Linked DNA regions of Astyanax mexicanus. The protein of the gene in region 1 purifies or fractionates together with the protein of each later gene. This does not show direct contact. Links are inferred from orthologs where the notes say so. Each region holds a gene or a part of one and is shown on either strand. Other genes may lie near its edges.

Region 1 (7,451 bases):
GCACTGACACACTGGCAATTAAATATATATATGTAATATATTTAAGGCTGCAAAGTATACATCTACGTTGCTTTCACAAATCTGCAAGATAAAAGCACCTTAGCAGGCAGCATTTTTATACAACATTCAATTAATAAACGACTAGGGGCCTGATTAGCCAACATTTAATCCATCTCAGACAGCAGAAGCAATGGCCCCAGTTGAAATCTGATTGAAATCTGATTTTGTCACTTATTAAAGTGACAAAAAAAGCAAAAACAAAATAAGCAAAAACAAAATAAGCAGAAGCAAACAAGACAAGCAGTAAATACAGAAAAAAACACAAAATACACATAAAAGAAGCAAAGACGTATAAATTATATGATTAATATGTTTTTTGTTTTGAAGTTGCCAACTACACTTTTTAGGGTTCAAGCACCGAAGGTGCGTAGAACCCTATTGTTATTGCTAAGATTTTTAGGGTTCAAGCACCGAAGGTGCGTAGAACCCTATTGTTTTTGCTAAGATTTTTCTTATTATTATTATTATTATTATTATTATTATTATTATTCTTTTTCTCCTGTAAAAACAGTTGTGCAGCCTAAACCGTAAGTCATAGAGAAATGAAACTTGGTAGGTAGATGTAGGATCAGTGCATCTCGGTGGACAACAAAAATGGCACCGATTGGTCAAGTGGTGGCGCTATAAACAAGGAAATTCATTTTTCACAATTTTCTCAATAACTCAAAAACCATAAGACCTACATTCAAAATTCTTTTTTTGCTGGATTCCTTGGGTCAATACCAACAACTTTCCAATTTGGACCATGCACTTCCGTCTATATAGATTTTGTGCTAATTTGCATAATATGCAAAACCTACTTTTGCAAACTAGTCCTAGGATTTTTGACCAATCCTGGCATGTTTGGTATCAAAACACTCGTGAGAGCATGCGCTTCAATATTCATTAAGAAAAAGTTGAAATATGTAAACAATATGGCCGCCATATGCAAATTAGTCCTTCCGGATATATGCCCCATTCACTTCAAGAGGTAAATTTGGAGCACTGTTTCTCAGCAACCGTGCAACCTAGCAAGTTGAAACTTTGCATGCAGAATCTAACATACAGCCTCTAAAGGATGTTCAAAGGGCAACTTAATCAATCAACATGGCTGAACACCATCAGCCAATCAGCATTCAGCAGACATTTTGGCAGGCTGAACGTTGCCCAATCTGGATGATATTTGGCAGTTATGTTCAGGTGGAGACACTGTAGTGACCTGCAAAGTGCTGAAACAATCCGCCCACTGGGGGGCGCTGTTCCAAAAAAACGAGTATATGTCAATCATGCTGTACTATTTTGACATCTAATTGTTTTTGCCATATTTAGTACAGTGGGTCTGACAAATTTCTCAATACAACTATGTTTAAAAAGTGCTTTGTTCATTCATAATTGCTAATTGTTTGAAAATAGCTATATTGAAACTACTCTCTGGATATTTGGCCTATCACCTCCATTTCAGTCTTGCTGCACACTGTAGAGTCTCTAGGTAAATGTTCATTAAAAACATTTGTGAAAATTTCACATACAATACTCTCCAGGCATCAAGCAATCTGTGCGTCCTTGGAATTTCTAACCTAAATTGCTGTAACTCTGCAGTATTTGCTGTAATCTCACAATGTTAAAGACCTCTGTACAATATCACTTTGATGAAGCACCATTTAATACAGAACTAGATTAAGAATAACTTGACATTACATGTCATATCAGAACATTCACTCCTTTGTGCCTCTTCTCAACATTAATAACAGGTGAAAGACTTTTGATCATTTTAAATGTGACAGAATGTCTCCAATTGTGTTAGACCTTCTTACACATCACCATCCTATGCTCTAGTAGGCACCATTGTGCTAGTTGGTGCTTGATGAAGCGCCATTTAATTCAGAACTAGATTTATAATAACTTCGTAATTACATGTCATATCAGAACATTCACTCCTTTGTGTTAATTTAAACTTGTTTGGTCAAACATTTCAGCTTGTTCTGCAAAGGTTCAAAGGTCAATCTGAATACCACTTTGTGAACATTCTGGTTGAAGCCACCTGATCAATACCAATAACATGTAGACACCTTTTGACTAGTTCTAACTCACTTAATGAATATCCTACAAAGTTCACTAGATTTACATGTGAATTTAAGCACTGATCAGGTTGAAAGGCCTCTGCTCAACATTAATAACAGGTGAAAAACTTGATAATTTCTAAATGTGACAGGGCATCTCCAATCATATTAGACCTTCTTACACATCACCATTCAATGCTCCAGTAGGCACCATTGTGCAAGTTGGTGCTTGAACCCGATGATTGCCGCTTGCGGCTATATTTCTTCTTATTATTATTATTCTTTTTCTCCTGTAAAAACAGTTGTGCAGCCTAAACCGTAAGTCATAGAGAAATGAAACTTGGTAGGTAGATGTAGGATCAGTGCATCTCGGTGGACAACAAAAATGGCACCGATTGGTCAAGTGGTGGCGCTATAAACAAGGAAATTCATTTTTCACAATTTTCTCAATAACTCAAAAACCATAAGACCTACATTCAAAATTCTTTGTTTGATGGATTCCTTGGGTCAATACCTACAACTTTCCAATTTGGACCATGCACTTCCGTCTATATAGATTTTTTGCTAATTTGCATAATATGCAAAACATACTTTTGCGAACTAGTCCTAGGAATTTTGATCAATCCTGGCATGTTTGGTATCAAAACACTCGTGAGAGCATGGCCTTCAATATTCATTAAGAAAAAGTTGAAATTTGTAAACAATATGGCCACCATATGCAAATTAGTCCTTCCGGATATATGCCCCATTCACTTCAATTGTTAAATTTGGAACACTGTTTCTCAGCAACCGTGCAACCTAGCAAGCTGAAACTTTGCATGCAGAATCTGTCATACAGCCTCTAAAGGATGTTCAAAGGGCAACTTAATCAATCAACATGGCTGAACACCATCAGCCAATCAGCATTCAGCAGACATTTTGGCAGGCTGAATGTTGCCCAATCTGGATGACACTTGGCAGTTATGTTCAGGTGGAGACGCTGTAGTGACCTGCAAATTGCTGAAACAATCCGACCACTGGGGGGCGCTGTTCCAACAAATCGAATACATGTCAATCATACTATACTATTTTGACATCTAAATGTTTGTGCCATATTTAGTACAGTGGCTCTGACAAATTTGTCAATACAACTATGTTTAAAAAGTGCTTTGTTTATTCAGAACTGCTAATTGTTTGAAAATAGCAATATTGATACTAGTCTCTGGATATTTGGCCTATCACCGCCATTTCAGACTTGTTGCACACTGTAGAGTCTCTAGGTTAAGATTCAATAAAAACATTTGTGAAAATTTCACATACAATAGTGTCCAGGCATCAAGCAGTCTGAGCGTCCTTGAAATTTTCAACCTAAATTGCTGTAACTCTGCAGTATTTGCTGTAATCTCACAATGTCAAAGACCTCTGTACAATATCACTCTGATGAAGCGCCATTTAATACAGAACTAGATTTAGAATATATTTGTAATTACATGTCATATCAGAACATGCACTCCTTTGTGCCTCTTCTCAACATTAATAACAGGTGAAAGACTTGATAATTTCTCAATGTGACAGAGTGTCTCCAATTGTGTTACACCTTCTTACACATCACCATCCTATGCTCTAGTAGGCACCATTGTGCCAGTTGCTGTTTGATGAAGCGCCATTTAATTCAGAACTAGATTTAGAATAACTTTGTAATTACATGTCATGTCAGACAATGAACTCATTTGTGTTAATGTAAACTTGTTTGGTAAAACATTTCAGCTTGTTTTGCAAAGGTCAAAAGGTCAATCTGAACACCACTTTGTAAACATTCTGGTTGAAACCACCTGATCAATACCAATAACATGTAGACACATTTTGACTAGATCTAACTCACTTGATGAATATCCTACAAACTTCACTAGATTGACATTACAATTACAATTTACAATTTAAGCACTGATCACGTTGAAAGGCTTCTGCTCAACATTAATAACAGGTGAAAATTTTTTAATAATCTCTAAATGTGACAGGGCATCTCCAATCATATTAGCCCTTTTTACACATCACCATTCAGTTCTCTAGTATGCACCATTGTGCCAGTTGGTGCTTGAACCCGATGATTGCCGCTTGCGGCTATATTTTATACTTATTTCCCCCACTGTATATAACTACCAGGAGGTATATGTATATACGTTTTTTAATGTATTTAATGTCTCAATTTTGTTTAAGGTGTATACAAAAAGTACCTCTGTACATTAACTGCCCAAATAAGTTAAATTAATTTAAAATAAAAGCTTCTGTAAGTGATTCTGCCTCTGAGCGTGTTTATGTCTACGCCCATTGTGGGTACTGCGCATGCGCCGCTGAGCATAGTCTGAGTAGTGAGGCCTTCCGGGCGCTTTCACACAGACGCAACGATGGCGAAGATCGCCAAAACACATGAAGGTAAGCGCGTATATTACATATATTCAGTACAGGCGGTGTGAACAGGCTACATATACGTTTTCTTAACGGTTTGCTGGCTGGTTCTCGTGGCATGACTGGAGAAATTAGCTGCTGCTGCTGCTGCGAAGTGAACCATCGTAGTGCGAACGAGGCGCAGAAGAGAACATGGCGACTGAGCGCTTTATTAACTAAAGCCGCCAATGAACCGCAGATACAGGCGGTTTAAATCATTGTAGACTCGCTCTGTATCTTTTTATACATGCGGAAAAATGTGTAAAAGAATACCTTAGCATTATTTGAGGGAAATTATAGTCGGACAGCCTGTGGTGATTAAAAACAGAACCCTCACGCAGGATCCAGCGCTGCTGTGCGCGGCCTGTTAGTGGCCCTGCTCAAAATGGCGCTCTGTGAGCTAACCCAGCTAAAGCTAACTGCTCCCATTACACAAAATACAGCGTGATTCCCTTCGTTTTAGCGGTTTAATACTGATTTAGTGTAAGCTTTATATTTTGTGTGGCTCAAAATAGCGTTAGCAGAAGGCTCACTTAATTAGTAACAAGAAAATTAGCGAGTTAGATAGTTTAGTACGTAGCCCGTTGGTGCAGATTAGTTAGCTAAGCTAACTACTTTTGACTAGCTAAGATGCTAACAAAACATGGGCAGCATGTCTGAAGTCATTCAGCGGTTTGACTACATTATTAGTGGTTTCTTTGGGTTATATATATATTTTCTTTTTATATTATGGCTATATTGGTTGGTATCAAACATGTTAGTAACGTTACCTAAATAGCTAACGTCGAATAATTTGTAGCTTAATGGCATTGCAATAAGAACACGATTTCCTAAGTATTAACGTAATCCTCTCAGACCCTGCATCCGTTAAGCTACAATAAACACCATGTAACTTAATTTTCTTTATTTTTCAAAATGTTTTGTTGCACATAACACTATTCAAGAGCTCTTGTCCTTCAGAATAGTTCATGAACCAGCTATTGAATACGTTTATAAACACATGAAACCTTTGGCCCCGCCTACTGCACTGGAAAAACAAGTTCTAGAGCCATTGAGGCTATATAACAGCTAATTCTTACAATTTTAACGTGATCTAGAACACTGTTTCGCGATGGTTTATACAATAAAAATGTCCATATAAAATATAAAAGTCTTCAACCGGCAGAGTCTGCTAATACTGCTTCATTTTGTCTGCTTGTCACAAAAACGTGTGTGCGGAAAATAATATTTTTATTATATTAACCAGGTGGGTGATTGACATACGCCACAGGTTTTGAGTTTTACATTGCTAAAAATGTTTTTTATTGGTTTATTAGTTATATTAGTATTATATCGTATTGACCAAAATTAACATATATTCATTTCATACATAAAATAGGTTGGTATAAATTTTGACTGTATTCTGTACCCCTAGTAAATAACAGGCTGGTTGTTAGAGGTGTCACTTGATTAAAAGAAATATTGAATAAATCACTACAGTCTTTTGTGATTTAATCATGGTTGATCATGTGGTGAAGTGACAAAAAAAGCAAAAACAAAATAAGCAGAAGCAAACAAGACAAGCAGCAAATACAGAAAAAAAACACAAAATACACATAAAAGAAGCAAAGACGTATAAATTATATGATTAATATGTTTTTTGTTTTGAAGTTTGAAGTTGGTTATTAGAGGTGTCACTTGATTAAAAGAAATATTGAATAAATCACTACAGTCTTTTGTGATTTAATCATGGTTGATCATGTAGTGTTCTTAAGATTAAGCTTTTAATAGTGTATATGTAAATGTAAATAAGAGAATGAATACAATATTAGCAAAACTAAGTTACATTTATTTTAGTTGTCAATTGCTTAAAAAGATTGTGTTGCTGTAATATTCTGTGATCAGACATAATTAATAAAGTTCAAATCATGGACTGTTTTGAAAACTATCTGATTAGTTTTAATGCTTTAATGCTGTGTATGTGCACTCTTGGTGTCCAGATTAATTGCATGCCCTACTGTGTATACCTGTGTACATTTCTGGTGTGTGGGTCTGAACAGATGTCATGTTTTCAACATACGGTATTTCCCTGTTTTCTATTTTCAGACATTGAGGCGCAGATCCTGGAAATCCAGGGGATGAAGGCAGCTCTGCTGGAGGAAGGAGAGCAGGGTGTCGGCCTTGATTCCACTGGATATTACGACCAGGAGATTTACGGAGGCAGCGACAGCCGCTTTGCCGGATATGTCACCTCTATTGCAGCAAACGAGCAGGAGGAAGTAAGTTGTACAAATAGTTAATTTGATATGCTTATAAGATGAGTCATGGAGAAGCAACACATACATTTTCTAAATCATATGTGCTTAAAATATGACAAAACCTTTACAGACTGTATCTTACCAACATTTTTATTTTTTCTTAAGGATGATGAAGAGGACTCTTCCACGAGTTTACTTGGGCAGAAGAAGCCGGGGTACAATGCTCCAGTGGCAATACTCAATGCCATTCCTCAGTCAGATGAGCAGGTAATTTAATGCAACTCTTTGTTACACTTCCTATTTATAGATGTTTTAAAATATGCAACATTAGGTGAGTTTAATTATCTTTAACTTGTTTTTTCTCTCCTTTTTTTGCAGTATGATCCTTTTGCTGAGCACAGACCGCAGAAGATTTCGGACCGTGAAGATGAGTACAAGAAACGCAGACAAAAGATGATCATCTCTCCTGAGCGCCATGACCCCTTTGCAGACGGTAAATGTCACACAGCTGTTCCCTTTCATACTCCCATCCATGTCCATGCTGAGGAGTATGCAGTGTCTATACATAATCCTGCTCTATATCACTGTGTTGGTGGTTAACCCTTCAAGCACTTGACGACAACTTGCTTCCCAGATTTAGACTAAGCATTGATTATTGATTTTGCTGTGTAAGATTTATAGTAAAATATTT
Region 2 (7,492 bases), on another chromosome or scaffold:
TCACCTAAATCCACTTGTTTTAATTAAGTCTTCAGTCATTCAAAAACTGATTACACATGCTTCTGCTTTACTGAAATGAAACCCTGCATCCATATGGACCTTTTGCAGAAAAGATTGGCCACTCCTGTTTTTCTTCTGAATGTGTAGACCATGCAGCTTGTAATTAGCTAATCACTGAAAGCAATGCATTGCATGAAGATACCTAAAACCTTTGGTCTGTTATCTAGTAATCACTTTTGTTTAATTGTTTTCTGTTGCTTATATTTATTGAGAAATTTAGTTTTAAAAAGTTCTGGAATAATGCCATGTACTAAATAAATAAAATAAATGTTTTTGTAAATGCTCTGTGTCTTGTATAAATTGTTTCTTTTGTTTATGCAAACTAGCACGTTTTTAATAGTAAGATCAACATTTGCTTAGTTGGGGAACATGACATGAAATTAATTTAGTCAGACCATCACATCAGCACAATTGCAATTTGCTTTCCTTGGCGAGTCACCGACCGATGCAACAATCCCAGGAACTTTAACTATTAATGCTAAATGTTGGTACAGGACAATAATGTCTCCCACATATTTTTCAAAGAGTCATCATGGTTATTTACTGTTATTATTATTATTGTAATATGGAGTGATCTGGAAAAAAGAGTTTAGTCTGCTGTTTTGATTGTTTTGCTGTTGTCGTCTATAAAGCAGAACTGGTTGTTTGACCACTGATTGGCCACTGATTGGCCAAGACTTTATCTGTAGAAACTGTCTATTTTTTTTGTATCCCTATGCTGGTTCAAAAGACCTGGACCAAACCATTTGATGGGGACAGGAACACTCATAACAATTTTTCATACACTTGTATATATTTAAATTTAAAATGTAGACAGAACAAAGAAAAAAATAAAACAGAATACACTGAAATTGCAAATTTAAGTATATAATGTTAAATTACTTTGTGCCTCCCTCTAACCTGGACCAACCCATTTGGTCCACAATGGGCATGCTCCAATTTATCCAGGGACTATAAAGTCAGCTGATAACTTGAAAACTCATTTGTTTCTGTAGCTGAAATGCTGGCGCTGGAGTACATATGTATGGAGTAGGTAAATGAAGTGAAAATATTAATTTGACAAACCAACCTTGGGTGGAGAAGAGTAGACTTGCATTTAAGTTAGCCTGTAACTGTGAGAGAGGTTAGCATCTAGCTTTAGCTTAGCAGCTAAAGCACATTCAAATAAATAATACAAACACTGGTTAAACAATTCCTTGTTAAAGCTGAATTATAGTTAAGCTTTTTCTCATGAGTTTAAATACATTCTACAAAGTGTCTTCTTTAAAATGACTTATATTTTTAAAGTACATAAACCTGCTGTTTGATATATTTTACAACTAACTGAACATATTTTGCAGCTAAGACCTTTCAGTGGATGTCTGTTCTTTGGAAAGTGTTTTCAAGGTTTCTTTGTGTTGGGAATCATTTTCAGTTTCAATTGTAACTCACTATCCAGAGGCTGGGTTGGTTTCTTGGGTTGATTTGTGATCCTTAATCCTAACAGCATGACTTTAAACAGTGTATTTTTTTTATCTTTCTTTAAAATTAATTAAATTAAGTTTATGCCTTAAAACAGTAAAATGAATCTTTAGGAAAGTTTTTCTGCCTAATTTTTCCCATGCACTCAGTCAGCTCCACAAGACCCAGAATTATTTCCATTATTGTTTGCTCATGTAGTTTGCTCTCCGGAAGCACCACTGTCGGAATTACTGAGATCCTACCACAACCTACAAAACCTTTAGCCAAACCACACCTTGGCGATTTCATTCACCCAATGAAGATGCCTGCAGCTGTTTGCCTCTAATCTAGTAATCACTTTGGTTTTATGTTAAATGATTGAATGTATTAAAGACAATAAAAACTAAGTTTGATGTGTCTTGTATAACTTTTTCTTATGCTTACTGTTCACTGTTTAAGTTCACTGTTGGGAAAACTGTTTAAGAATTGATTGAACCCTTCTATATATTAAAAAAGAGGTATGTATATACAGGAAATAAGAACCACTGGTCAATGTACTGTTGAATAAGCTGCAAAATGTAAATAAAATGGTGTATAACAGTTATCTTTGGAAGAATAATTTAAGTTGCTATGTGTAGTTAGTGAAAACACACTGAGCAATATAAAGCTCAAACACAAGGCTGTTTGTCCTCCTGCTCTGTAGAGAAAAGTGCAGATTTTGCCACTGCAGTATCAGTCTATTCTACAAGTTAGGGAAGGCAATTTACTGCACTAATTTTTTTTAGTTTTGAGGCCAACTCAAAGAAAAGACACAGTTGTGCCAACTAAAAATCATTAGTTCAGATAATTGATTTTTATATGCATAAAGCTTTAGAAATTAAGTCTCACCAACTTATAAATTCACTTTGTATCCTTTCCTTTAAGATCCTGTTTCACATAAATCAAACTCATATAAAGAGCACAACATAAGTTAGCAACTAAGAATGTATGACTGTTATGTCTTATTATCAGTCATATTAAAATTGCAAAACACAGTGGCTTGCTCTTATAGACTTTAACGCTAAGGCCAGGCAGTTAACTATTATGTAACACATGCGAATCCCAAGAGAAGGCAGCCTGTGAAGAATGACTACTCACCGATAGTGAGTGAGAGGTAAAAGAACACACCCAATATGCAAATAGCTTGACCAGCATCAGATTAAAAACCCCTGCATAATAAATAGTTTAAACCGAGGCTTCTGCTAAGCATCTTTCATTAAATGAGTTGTCTACCACTTTGTTTGATTAAAATGCTGACACTAATTCTGGTTGTCACATTGTGTCCTACATCATATTATCCCATAAGGGCGTTTTAATACCCAGTAGATACATTTCATATTGTTCCCCCAAAAAATAGGCCAGTACATCACAGGTACTAAATGTGAATCTACAAACATTGATCAAGGTTTAAACTCAGATCATTCCCTGTGGTGATTTACCAATGACCCTGGAATTTTTGTATGGGACGTTGGCTCATTATGACTCGAGTAAAAGTGCCTTTCAAAAAAAAACTCTCTAGGAGCATGGACTCTTTATGTACAATATTTTTTCCATTGCTAATGCATTCGTCTCCAACATCAGAATTGATTTATTTGTGCACATCAATTTTACATTGATTTAACGTTAATTCAAAATTATGGTTTTAGATGTATGTTTTTATTAAACTTAAATTAAAGATGTACATTAGACTCAAGAAGTGTATATGTGTTACATACAGAGTGATCCTTTTTAAGTGTTGATTTCTTTTATTGTTAATTTGAAATCGGTGTCTCAGAAAACTAGAATAGTATATTAGACCAATTAGTACTTTTGGCAGTGTGGCAGTGTGCCACTCTGCTGGAAAATGAAATCTGCATCAGGAAAGAATGAAGTGCTATAAGATTTTCTGGGGAAAAAACTGCACTGATTTTTGGACTATATAATACAGTGGACCAACACAAGCAGATGACATGGCTGTCAAAAAAGCAACTTTTCAATTTCAACTTTTCATTTTTAAGATGCACTAGTATTTATAGTTTTTGGATTCTGTTATTGTAGACTGTACTGTGGTCTTTCAGTGTATAAAGTGACATAATACTAATAATTAGTAATATTAAAATTATGATTTGTGGGAATTTGTTAAATGTTAAATAAGGGTTGTTTAAAGATTGTTTTTCTATCATTACTTTAACAGAAGTAATGCAACCAAAATCTTTTTAAAAAATTAACGTTTGGAACCCCAAATCCAGAAGCTCACAATGCTTTTAGATTTATACACCAACCACTGCCTAAGAAAGTCTAGAAGGATCACGAAGGACCCCTCCCACCCATTCTCACAGCTTCTTCCCCCAGGCGACCAGGCTGTGGAACAGTGTTTTGCCCAACTTGCCACTGCCATCTTATACAAACTTTTTGACCCTGAACTTTACTTCACTTTACATCACATTGCATCTTTCTAACTTTCCCATACTTATCCTATTATACAGCATTCTCCACCCTGTACTTCCCAATCAACTCATTCTGTACCTGCACTTTAGTCATAATTACTCTGTCACATACTATCTCTGCACTTTCACATACACACTCAGATATCAGCACATGTATATATCAGTGTATACTTGTATATCCATTCATATTAACGTATATCTACACTGCAAATAAATACTTAGTAAATATTTCAAGTAAATCTTGTTCTTTACATGCTAATAGGAACCTGCACACAAGTTTTTTTTACTCACCTGTATTCTGTGACGTGACAATAAATACTGTATTTTGAATCTTGAATCTTGAATCAGGGATCCTTCAGGGCACAGAGCTGGAATATAGAGCCTCCTCGCCTGCAGGCGGCAGTGAGCGTTAGGTTTGACTCGGAAGAAGTTTGGGACGGTTTATCAGAACGCCTGCAGAACGATTGGATGGTGGCTGGTGTTTATTTGGGCCTCGCTGGTTTAGTGAGCGCTCCTTTTCGCGTGTTTACAGGACTTTAGGTGTTTAAAGAGTGTGATAAATATGTTGTACAGGCGGTAGAGTATAGCTAGCCGCTCTGTTTATGTTCTATTTAGCGTTAATATACACAAACCGTGCTGGGAGGGAGTGTATCTATGTTAGCTAGGTTAGCTTGCTAGCTAGCGTTAGCTATGTTGTTAGCAGGCTAGCTAGCTAAGCGTGTTATTTTTGGTGTCGTTTTAATACTTTCTAACCCAAGTCTAACTAGTACCTGTTAGTTATTTGCGTTGTTTGCTTTAGTGTCGGGTCTTTAAACAGGTTTGTTTACGCATAGGTTAGCTAATTAACACAGTTAGATAACCTAGCTAATTAGGTTATCTAGCTAACTAACTAATACTCTCAGATATGGGCTCATCTAAGAAACACAAGGAGAAGGATAAGGAGCGGGACGCAGAGGACCGACACCGAGAACACAAGAAACACAGACATAAGGACAGAGAACGGGACAAGGAGAGAGATGGAACTCGAGAAAAGGAGGAGAAGAAAAGGAAAAGGTCCCGCTCCAGAGAGAGAAGCAGCCGGGGAGAGAAGGAGAGCCGCAGTAAAGGAGAGAAGAGCAGTGGAGAGACTCGTGTAAAGAAGGAGAAACTTGATCCAGCTTTTGAAGAGGCTGAAGGTGAGCTGGTGACCTGTTTACTGCCACTGACTGTTGGTTAGTGTTAGAAGAATTTAGATTTCTGTCCAATATTGGCCAAAATCCAAAAATCAACAACTTATCAAACAGTAATCAAGAAATTGGCATTACCATTGATTGATTTAAAGTTTCACACACTTTTTAGGACAGGTCAGCACTGCCAGAAGGCTCATCCAGTACATGTTTTTTATGTAGGGGTTGTTCTTGGTAATGTGACATTTAATTAAAAAATACTCAATATACTAGTTCATAAAAATAAATATTTAGTCTTATTAGTCCTAATTGAGATTTTCACCAGATTTGAACAGAAATCAATGATCCAACATGATACTATTAATACTAGTAATGCACCCCATATATCCAGGACTGGAGTAAAAAAAAATGCTGGACAGATACATATAATCTGTCTCTATTAAATATTTAATAGGAAATGAGAACAGTGGGAATTTTCCTTTTGCTACAAACAGCAAAACAATTGCCCCTGATGGCCCTAAAATAAAATCCCAATATTTCTAGTTTTTTTTGTGATTAAAATGTTTTAAAAAGACAGTTGAGCGCAGAGAAGGCAATGGCATTTCTGGACATGGTTAACATAGGATTTTATTTTCTACACTAACGTTTTAGGTGCCATTGTAAATGCAATTCTGCAATGTAGTGTGGTTAAAGTGATTCCTTACCCCTGTGGTTCTGGGCTTTCACTTCTGTCTGTTAGGCCAGGTAATTCTTGATGATTAAAAGACTAACTTTTCATGGATCCTTTGTTGGAAATGAATCGTTACAGTGACTTGTGAGCATCACCAGTTTATATGTTTGTAGTCCAGCATTACTGTTTTGTAAGTTAGTAAGTGTTTTAAACAAAGTTTCATTAAAATGTGATTTTGTTAATACATTAAAATATGTGTAGTGATGCACCCATTTTTTATAGTGCCTGTACCTGATTTAAACTTTTTTTTTTTGTCTGTTCCTTTGCAGATATGGCTCCAAAGTCTGCGGGTGGAGATGCTTCACTCAGCATTGAAGAGACCAAGTATGCTAATAAAGTGCTTTGCAGACTGTCTATCAAGGTTTTGCATCAGAATTGATTTTGGAACTTATCCAACCAATTCTTGTTTTCCCTTTTCAGTAAATTGAGGGCCAAACTTGGTCTGAAGCCTCTTGAGCTAAATGAGAATAAAAAAGGTGAGAAATCGGTGTCTAACAGGACTTATGCTACCAAATATTCTTTCTCTTCTTTTTTTCTCATGTTAAATATTTCTGATTGCAGAACTGGGCACAAAAGAAGAGCCCCTGCTAGCTGAGACTATCAACCCTGTACAGATCAAACAGCAGGCAGAGATTAGGGAGAAACTGGCTGCACTCAAACAGAAGCGTCTGCTTAATCAGAAACTTGGGTACAATCCTCATTATGCTTTTTCATTTATACACCATAGGACTGTACTTCTATAGAGTTTTTGTCTCTTGAAGCCTTGTGTATCATTACTCAAATTGACCTTAATCATTGTCTCCCATTTTAGCAAGGTTAAGACACTTGGAGAGGATGAACCTTGGTTGGATGATACTGCTGCCTGGGTGGAAAGAAGTCGCAAACAGGCTAAGGAAAAGGAGTTGGCAGAAAAGAGAGTAAGTAGTAGACAGGGTTCTACAGCTTCTGCAGAATCGTTTCATTCGTGTCTTCTTTGTTGAGGCAAACGCACAGCAAAAAATGTACTGGTGATATACACGTTGTGGTTTTTATTGTAATATTATGTCTTTGTTTAATATATTTTTGTTTTTATTGTAATGAGCATATGATTTTCATAGGCCAAACTTCTTGAAGAAATGGATGAAGAGTTTGGTGTGAGTAACCTTGTGGAACAGGAGTTCGCTCAGACTAAGAAGGTAGACTTCATACACTTTCCGCAGTGGTTAATCATATATCAAACAGAAACTTTAAATGTTATATAATACATTTTCTGATTACTAAAAGTCTTTTTTTTTTGTAGGACGCTTACAGTTCTAGAGACCTTAAAGGTCTCTCAGTACAGCACAAAATGGAATCCTTTAAAGAGGGGGAGACTGTAATTTTGACACTGCAAGACAAAGGTTTGTGCTCTGTTGGCTTTTCAGCAATGCATCTGCTTTACCTGCACCTGTGGCTTGCTCACTGTATGTTCTTGTTGCAGGTGTTTTGGATGAAAATGAAGATGTGCTGGTGAATGTGGGTCTGGTGGACAAAGAGAAAGCTGAGAAGAATGTGGAGCTTAAGAAAAAGAAGCCTGAGTACAAACCTTATGACGAAGAGGAGAGCGTGGATGACATGGTCACGGTGAGCACACATATTGATGTGACTGTTAA
Region 3 (7,635 bases), on another chromosome or scaffold:
CAATCCAACCTTATTCAACTCTCTTACTGATTGCCAGGTTTAGCAGGTCTGTTGGAGGAGGAAAACCTGCGAAATTTTCTAAACTCCAGCCTCCATAGCCCACTCCAGCGTATTTATGGGATTGTCCTGCTCTTTTTTAGAAAAATGTAACAAATGATGTATTGCTCCGTTCAGGAGAACGGGTTCCCTAGTGGAAGCTTGCAGTTGTTCATTAGTCGGGAGATGTAAAGGTAGGAAGTAAGCATTTTTAGGCTAACTAATATTATTCCTGCGCATGTTTTAACCCAGTTGGACCTCGCTTGTGTAGTTTTGCACTTAAAACAGACCGAGATATATCTGTTGCCAGGCAGAGAAAACTTTTATCCAATTAAATGGCAGTTTAGCTTTGACCACAGCATTGGAAAAATTTAATTCTGCACACTAAAAAGTAAAGCATAGCAGAATCCCAGATAATGAGGCAGAGTAAACCCGTTTTCCCCACATCCTGTTGAGTTTTTTAGGGATGATTTATAAATGTGAAATACAAAGATTTATATAAAATAATATTTCAAATCTAAAAAGGTAACAGTTGATAAGCAGTTCATACCACATTTTCCAGTTCTGATTTATGAAAACATCCTCGAGCCAAGCTGTTATTTTCGTATGGCTATTAAATGGTAAAATAGTAAATGCTCCTGTATGTTTAAAAAGGGATGGATGGATGCGGTCGAATTATGAAAATCATACTTTATACTAAAACTGAGGGAGGGCAGACTCACTGTCCTAGTTCTGTTATAAAGAGAGCTGGTGCAGAACTGCGCCACCTGCTGGCTGCTCAACCATCATTTTTGTCTTTATCTAGGACTAATACACACATATCATCTACCAGAACAAAGGGTTCTCTGGAGACTGGATTGTCTCTAATTTACTGTCAGTTGTTGTCAGATTTATTTCCTCCCTGTAAAACAGATCAGTGTCAGTGAGTTAAAGCTAAACCCCCTTTAAACTCGCTCAGCTCCAGCACTTAATGAGATTTATTTTATTGAGCTGTTTGTTAAATATAGATTCCCTTACAGCAGAACACAGCAGAAGCAGTGGGAACAGTCCATCCATTCCAACCCCCACCCATCAACTAATAATGTAGTAACAACTGTAGTTACAACGATTATAAGAATTAAATACACACCAGAATAAACTAAACAAAAGTATAAGCATAGTAAATATTATACAGGAATAGAACATTAATATAGAATGTTTATATGCATTGAAGGATGTGATGGGAGATAATCACACCTTCACACTATTTCCAGTGGTTTCATACCTTTATATATAAATACAGTAAGGGAAATAATTATCCCTTTCTGATTTTGTATATTTGCCCGCTGACAAAGACATGAAGAGTGTATAATTTAGGGGAAGGTTAATTTTAACAATGAGAGATAGAATGTCAAAATAAAATCCAGAAAATCACACTATATTAGCCATGTATTCCATTAAGAATTTTGGCACCTACAGACCAGTTAGACGCTCCTAATTAACTCGTTACCTGCATTAAAGACAGCTGTCCTTAATTGTCACCTGTATAAAGGACTTCTGTCTACAGACTCAATTAATCATTCAGACTGTAACCTCTACAACATGGGCAAGACCAAAGAGTTTCTAAGTATGTCAGGGACAAGATGCATGAGGCTGGAATGGGCTACAAAATCATAAGTAGTATGCTGGGTGAGAGGGAGATAACTGCTGGTGCAAAAATTAGTACAAAAATTGAAGAAATATGGAACATTAAGGACACAGGGCTGAGCAACATTATGATAAAAAACTTGTTGCCCTGACAGACTAGAGATGGACAACAAACTGTTAACCGCACACTGATGACGTAATGATATTAATAAATTACATACAATTGCATTGGTCATATTGACTTACATGTCTTGTACATAAATGTATAACTGTTTGGATGAAGTTTGTGTTGGGTTAGGGGAGGAGACACCCAAAACACTTGAGCAAAAATTCTGAACAGAATCTGCTTATTGGAGTGACCCAGTCAGAGCATACCTGTCAAGTTTTAGATTTAAAAATAAGGGATATTTTCCTCTGTACGCTTAAAGCCGTCCCACCAGCCCAACGAAGGTTCAGTATCCCTTACATTTTAAGACAGGTTTACAAAAAATCTAAAATAACCACAAGTGAACCACTTACACACTACAATTAGATTATCAGAATCTGAAATGTTGTGGACATTCCTACATATGTCATTCTTTTAATACAGCCAAATTAAAAACCCTTTTCTATATATTTTTTAAGAAATTAAGATTTCATGTCTTTTTTGTAATAAATGCACTCTTTTATATGATATATTTTTTATATATTTAATGGATTTAAAATTGAACAAAGGGTGCACAAATTCTGCAAAATTACTGTTGGTGACCTAAAAATAGTATCATGAGCTTTTACTAAAAGGACATGGACCAGATATGTTTCATCAGTAAAAATTAGTCCTAAGGGGCCTACACAATAAATTTTAATTAATACTTCTTCCTTTTGATCACTCCACCCCTGATTAGTTCAGTTAATTTCGGTTCTCTCCACATTTCTAGTTAAACTGAGTCACAAGCTGTATTTTTTTATTTTAAAAGGTTTAATCTGTGTGTTTTATTTTGGAGACGAGTATTTCTAAGCAGCTATCAGAAAAATATCATCACAGTTTACATGATTAGCCTACCGTTACCTTTCTTTTAGAAAAATCGCTGAATATCCAGATATGTTTTAACATCAGCAGCTCCGACTAGCTGCCTGAACTCACAGCGACGGAGGGGGCTTCCCCACACTGACCCTCCTTTGCAAGCTGATTGGCTGTTTCTCCTGAAAGGCGGGCTTTCTCCTTGAATCGGCTCCACGATTGGTTAAGAGACACAGAGCGGTCAGTGCCCTGTCTCCTCAATAATATATATATTTTTATTTTAATAGAATACGGGAAATTTACGGGAAAATACTAATACGGGAGGACGGCGGGAAAGAGGAGTAAAATACGGTAGTTTCCCGGCCAAAACGGGAGACTTGACAGGTATGAGTCAGAGCCCCAGATTTCAGATGCTACGGATTGACTTGGAGAGAGACACTTGACACATCCAAGGAATATAACAGAGCTAAAGCACTTCTGCCAAGAAGAATGGGCTAAAATTCCTTCTGAATTATGTGATTTGGAGGGGGGTGGGGATCAACCAGTGATTACTAGGGTTCACTTACTGTCCAATGCCACTTTGAGCGTTGATATATATAATATATATCAATATATTTGACATTTTTAGATGGATGGATGGATGGATTGATGAATGGATAGTTAGTTTATTGATCCCAGAGGGAAATTCTGTACATCCAGTAGCCGTTATACACAGTACACCGAAGTTCCAAAAGAAGAAAACAATAAAATGATACATATAAAAATGTGTAAATATGTAACCAGTGGACAATAAATAAACTAGTAGTGCAGAATAGGGTAAAACAGTAAAAATAATGTAATAGTGCATCTCAGAGGGTGTGTCTGCAGAGATGGTTGTGTGTCCATAGAGTGACCAGAGTTGCCGGAATGAAAAAGTGTCACAGAGTCTTTAGTTTGCTGTGGTGAGAGGAGTTGAACAGTCTTATGGCCTGAGAGACAAAAGTCTGTTTGTGGAGCAGGACTGGGACAGCATGGGACAGCGTGCCTGGTGATGATGCTGTACAGAGGATGGTGAACATTGTCCATGATGTTCAGCAGCTTGGTTTTGACATTTTTTTGCTGAAAACCATGGAATTCCAAAAGGTTCACATACTTTTTTATATTATAATAATTTTTAATAGTAATTATTAAATATGATTATAATATATTATAATGATTATAAAGATGATTATAATATAAATCATAATCATTAATAGTTACATTAATGATATTGAGAAAAATAATTTAAAAAATTCCCACAGCTCTATTTATTTTAAATTAGTTTGAGAGTAGTTTGCAAGTGTGAGAAACTCACTGTAGAGTTTCTTAGAAGGAAAACTGTCAGTAATATCTAATCTGATGTGAATGTGTATGTAACACATGTGGGCTTTCAGTGTCTCCATAATTGTGTGATTTATAAAACTTGATTTAATGTTTTGTTCTGTTTGTTTTATTTCAGTTTTATTTTCTGAGTGAACATATAATCCCTGTTAGTATACTAACAGTGGCAGCTGGCTAACAACCCTGATTTTATTCTATAATTATTGCCTTAAACAACAACCTAATAACTGGTATTTTAACATCATAATCAGGTGAGAACTAGTCATATAGAATTTAAAATCACTGAATTTTTATATGGAATTTAAATCACTTAATTGTGCAAACTATTATGTCCTTTAGTGATGGATGTTCACTATGTGTCATTTAGGGACTTAATGAGTTAAAAAGTGAGGGAGAGAGAGCTGTGAGAAACTTTACACAGATTTTAAAGGTTCTGTAACACATATTTACATCACCATGGGCTCTCCTGGGTTAAGTGAGCATGCTAAACCTGGCCTTTAGCTGTGGGATTTCACTGGACTCTTTTGTTTCCTGGAGCGTTTGTCCATAGCAGGCTGCCGTAGCAAAGCCGCGAGGGCTGCCGGGATATCGTAGGTCTGCGTGAGGCGACGGTGAGACATTTTTACATTTATTTATTTGTTTAAAATGAACAGATTAGAAATATGAAACGCGGGCTGCGACTCAGCTCAGTCTACAGGTTTCTGTGGTGAGCGGTAGGAGGGTAAATTTCAGAGCTTTGCTTTAAAAAGACGCGGTTTTGTTGACTGTTTGTGTTTCGACTGGAGGCTGGGTGGATTAAAGTGTGAAAAGCGAGTTTACGTGAACCAGTTCAGGTTCCATTAGGGCGGTAAAACATGTTCTGGAAGACTCGCTTATTTTAAGAGGAGGGCCGTGGCTTGTTTTTGTTGCCTAGCTAGGGTTAGATATGTAGCTTAGTCAGATTTTTGTTTGTGTGTGTGTGACTCCTGTGTTATGTTCATCTGTAACAAAAAAAAAACCGTCCTGAAGCAAGTCAACAGTTCACAGTGTACGTGTGAGCTAACTTTTACACATGGTGGCGGTAGTTTCACACACCATTGCTGTATCTAAGACTCCCGAAGTAAACAACAGGAGATCCCTCCTACATACATTCATAACAGATCATCATTTGGACACAGCGTGATGTTATGTCCAAATTAGACAGCAATCTTAAAGTCATTAGATTTTAGTAGGGGAAAAAGGTGTCATACTATTGCTTCACAATATTGGAAAAAAATGTTGCAGTATATATTGCAAAATAAACAATATATATTATTTTTTGCCAATTTTTGTCCAGAGTAAGTGGTCCAATATATCCATATATTAATAATGCCATCTGTGTAACAGAACAGTGGGTATTTCCTATTTTGCAAAAAGTAACCTTACTTGAATGGTTTAATTAGTCTTACATGACATTGCATCTCCCACATTGTGAGTACTGTGTGATAATGCTGAAATTATATATTATTATATATTAGGGCATGTTTTTATAGTTCTTTTAGGTGATGTAAAGGGGCTTCTATAAATAAAGCGTACATGATGATTTTTTTTTTTAACACAGATATTTTTGATTATGCTGACATTTGTAGGGATGCACTAATGTGGTGAATTCTGGACTGATGCTGATATCCGATATTACACAATTACATATTCCAGTGCTTATATACACATTCATAACTTACAGAGAGACTAGACACCCAACTGGGACTTTATAGATTTAAAACTAATAAAAATAAATAAAAATGAGCTTAAATCAATTCATTTTAGAGTAATGCAACTAGCGTTGCTCTGACCTTTTCCGGCATGCAATAAATACTTCAGGAAATATCAGTTTGAAATACTGGCCATACCAAGTGATGTGCAATTATGTCGAATTATATTGGTATCAGCCAGTAATTGTTGTTTTTTTATTTTTATTTTTTTAAATAAAAAAAGCTAGACCATCAACCTAGTACAGTAGCCCTGCCTACAGGTGCTCTATTTCCATCTCAGTTGTTATTAAACATTCAGAGCTGAAAAGCAGGTACTGTCCTTGTAGTGTCTGTATTGTTGTTGATTTGATCTGTGTATTTATGTTCTCCTGCAGGTGACCCAGGATGACCACAGCAGCGCGGCCAACGTTTGAGCCCGCCAGAGGGGGGCGGGGAAAAGGAGAGGGTGATTTGAGTGCGCTCTCTAAACAGTACTCTAGCAGAGACCTGCCTGGACATACCAAAATCAAATACAGGTGAGCTCCTTTGTTCTGAACATACAGCCCTCATTTTTAAAGGGTTTTTAAATTCAGAATGATCTATGTGCTGATAAGCATTTTAGCTTAAAAATAATCTTCGTCCGCAATAACCCACCTAAAAATACATATCACGTGACCGGTTATGTGCATCATTCACTATAATAGTAACCCCATTCTGTCAGTGTAAAAACCAATAGTCATAGTGCCATCATACATTCCACACCTAAGGTAGTAATTGTACTTTTTACTTATTTATTTCTCTTACATTTAAATTTAAGTTACAGGTGAATGTTTCATTTATATTATATGGCCAAACAAAGTGAACACATGTAAACAGTGATTTGTCTGGGTCTAGGTGCTGTATTAGACACTGATTGTGTTTAATGGATTGCGATTTAAGTATGTGTGTGTGTGTGTGTGTTGTGTCTTTTAGGCAGCCCACACAGGATGCTCCTGAGGAGATCCGCAACCGTGACTTCAGGCGTGAGCTGGAGGAGAGAGAAAGAGTCGCAGTGAAGGGCAGAGAGAGAGGAGCCAGGGGTAAGGGAGAATGTGTGTTTTTGTGTGTGTGTGTGTGTGTAACAGATGTTTAAAAATGCAGTCTGATAATCCGGCATTCTATGTAAACTATTGTAATATAAGTAAAATATACACACACTCTGTATCTGACTGTAACAGGAGTTTTTGTTTTGCCTTGTAGAGCATACCACATCCTCTTCCTCATCTTCATCCTCCAAACGACCAAGACTTGATCAGATTCCCGCAGCTAATCTTGATGCAGATGACCCGCTTACAGATGTATGTATTCTGTGTGTGAAGTATATGCATGGAGAGTACGGGATGCATAGCATTTTTAAAACAAAGTTAAAACAAAACTAGTTCCAGACATTAGACACTTTTTATTACAGTAGTATTGTGGAAGGAAGCTAAGAAAACTTTTAAACTGGAGATTAACATTTCTGTTAGCATACCTTTATGGGAATTGGTTTGTTTTACCTGGTTGATTTAAAGGCACAGAATGTGATTTTTATATACTTTTTTGTAAAATTAATTGAATGTTTCCTTATGGTTTACTAGTTTACTGTTGTTGGTGTTTCACGTTAAAATGTTAAAATACACACAGTGAGAGACGTGAGGCTAAGGAACAGCCAAAAAGTAACATTTCTGACAAAGAAAAACCAACAAAAAGATTTTAGATCAGGCAAGACAAATGCAAATTCTGCTGAGGCCCATGGAAGGTGGAGAGCCCTAAGAATATTGAAAGGCATGGCAATAAGGCATAAGGATGTTGCTCTTTGCTTCTTGATGGGTGGAAAACGTACATTTGCTGTTTTACAAAAATAGGTCACTATTATTTTGTGCGGTT

Evidence for each region.
Region 2: the proteins of sf3b1 (region 1) and sart1 purify together in Homo sapiens (co-immunoprecipitation; 4 studies listed by BioGRID and IntAct, with this or other methods). This does not show direct contact. The link is inferred for Astyanax mexicanus from reciprocal best matches to the Homo sapiens genes SF3B1 and SART1.
Region 3: the proteins of sf3b1 (region 1) and cwc15 purify together in Homo sapiens (co-immunoprecipitation; 3 studies listed by BioGRID and IntAct, with this or other methods). This does not show direct contact. The link is inferred for Astyanax mexicanus from reciprocal best matches to the Homo sapiens genes SF3B1 and CWC15.

The regions. Positions count from the first base shown.
Region 1 is NC_064418.1:3,449,604-3,457,054, forward strand, and holds the start of sf3b1 (splicing factor 3B subunit 1), read left to right. Parts: upstream 1-4,406; 5' UTR 4,407-4,483; coding exon 4,484-4,511; intron 4,512-6,608; coding exon 6,609-6,781; intron 6,782-6,925; coding exon 6,926-7,027; intron 7,028-7,138; coding exon 7,139-7,253; intron 7,254-7,402; exon of another isoform or gene 7,403-7,451. UniProt on the Homo sapiens protein: Component of the 17S U2 SnRNP complex of the spliceosome, a large ribonucleoprotein complex that removes introns from transcribed pre-mRNAs.
Region 2 is NC_064424.1:16,325,490-16,332,981, forward strand, and holds the start of sart1 (U4/U6.U5 tri-snRNP-associated protein 1), read left to right. Parts: upstream 1-4,391; 5' UTR 4,392-4,869; coding exon 4,870-5,140; intron 5,141-6,130; coding exon 6,131-6,185; intron 6,186-6,281; coding exon 6,282-6,337; intron 6,338-6,422; coding exon 6,423-6,549; intron 6,550-6,672; coding exon 6,673-6,778; intron 6,779-6,958; coding exon 6,959-7,036; intron 7,037-7,140; coding exon 7,141-7,240; intron 7,241-7,320; coding exon 7,321-7,463; intron 7,464-7,492. UniProt on the Homo sapiens protein: Plays a role in mRNA splicing as a component of the U4/U6-U5 tri-snRNP, one of the building blocks of the spliceosome. May also bind to DNA.
Region 3 is NC_064408.1:38,128,951-38,136,585, reverse strand, and holds the start of cwc15 (protein CWC15 homolog), read left to right. Parts: upstream 1-4,534; 5' UTR 4,535-4,632; intron 4,633-4,723; exon of another isoform or gene 4,724-4,742; intron 4,743-6,125; 5' UTR 6,126-6,135; coding exon 6,136-6,266; intron 6,267-6,702; coding exon 6,703-6,809; intron 6,810-6,969; coding exon 6,970-7,067; intron 7,068-7,635. UniProt on the Homo sapiens protein: Involved in pre-mRNA splicing as component of the spliceosome. Component of the PRP19-CDC5L complex that forms an integral part of the spliceosome and is required for activating pre-mRNA splicing.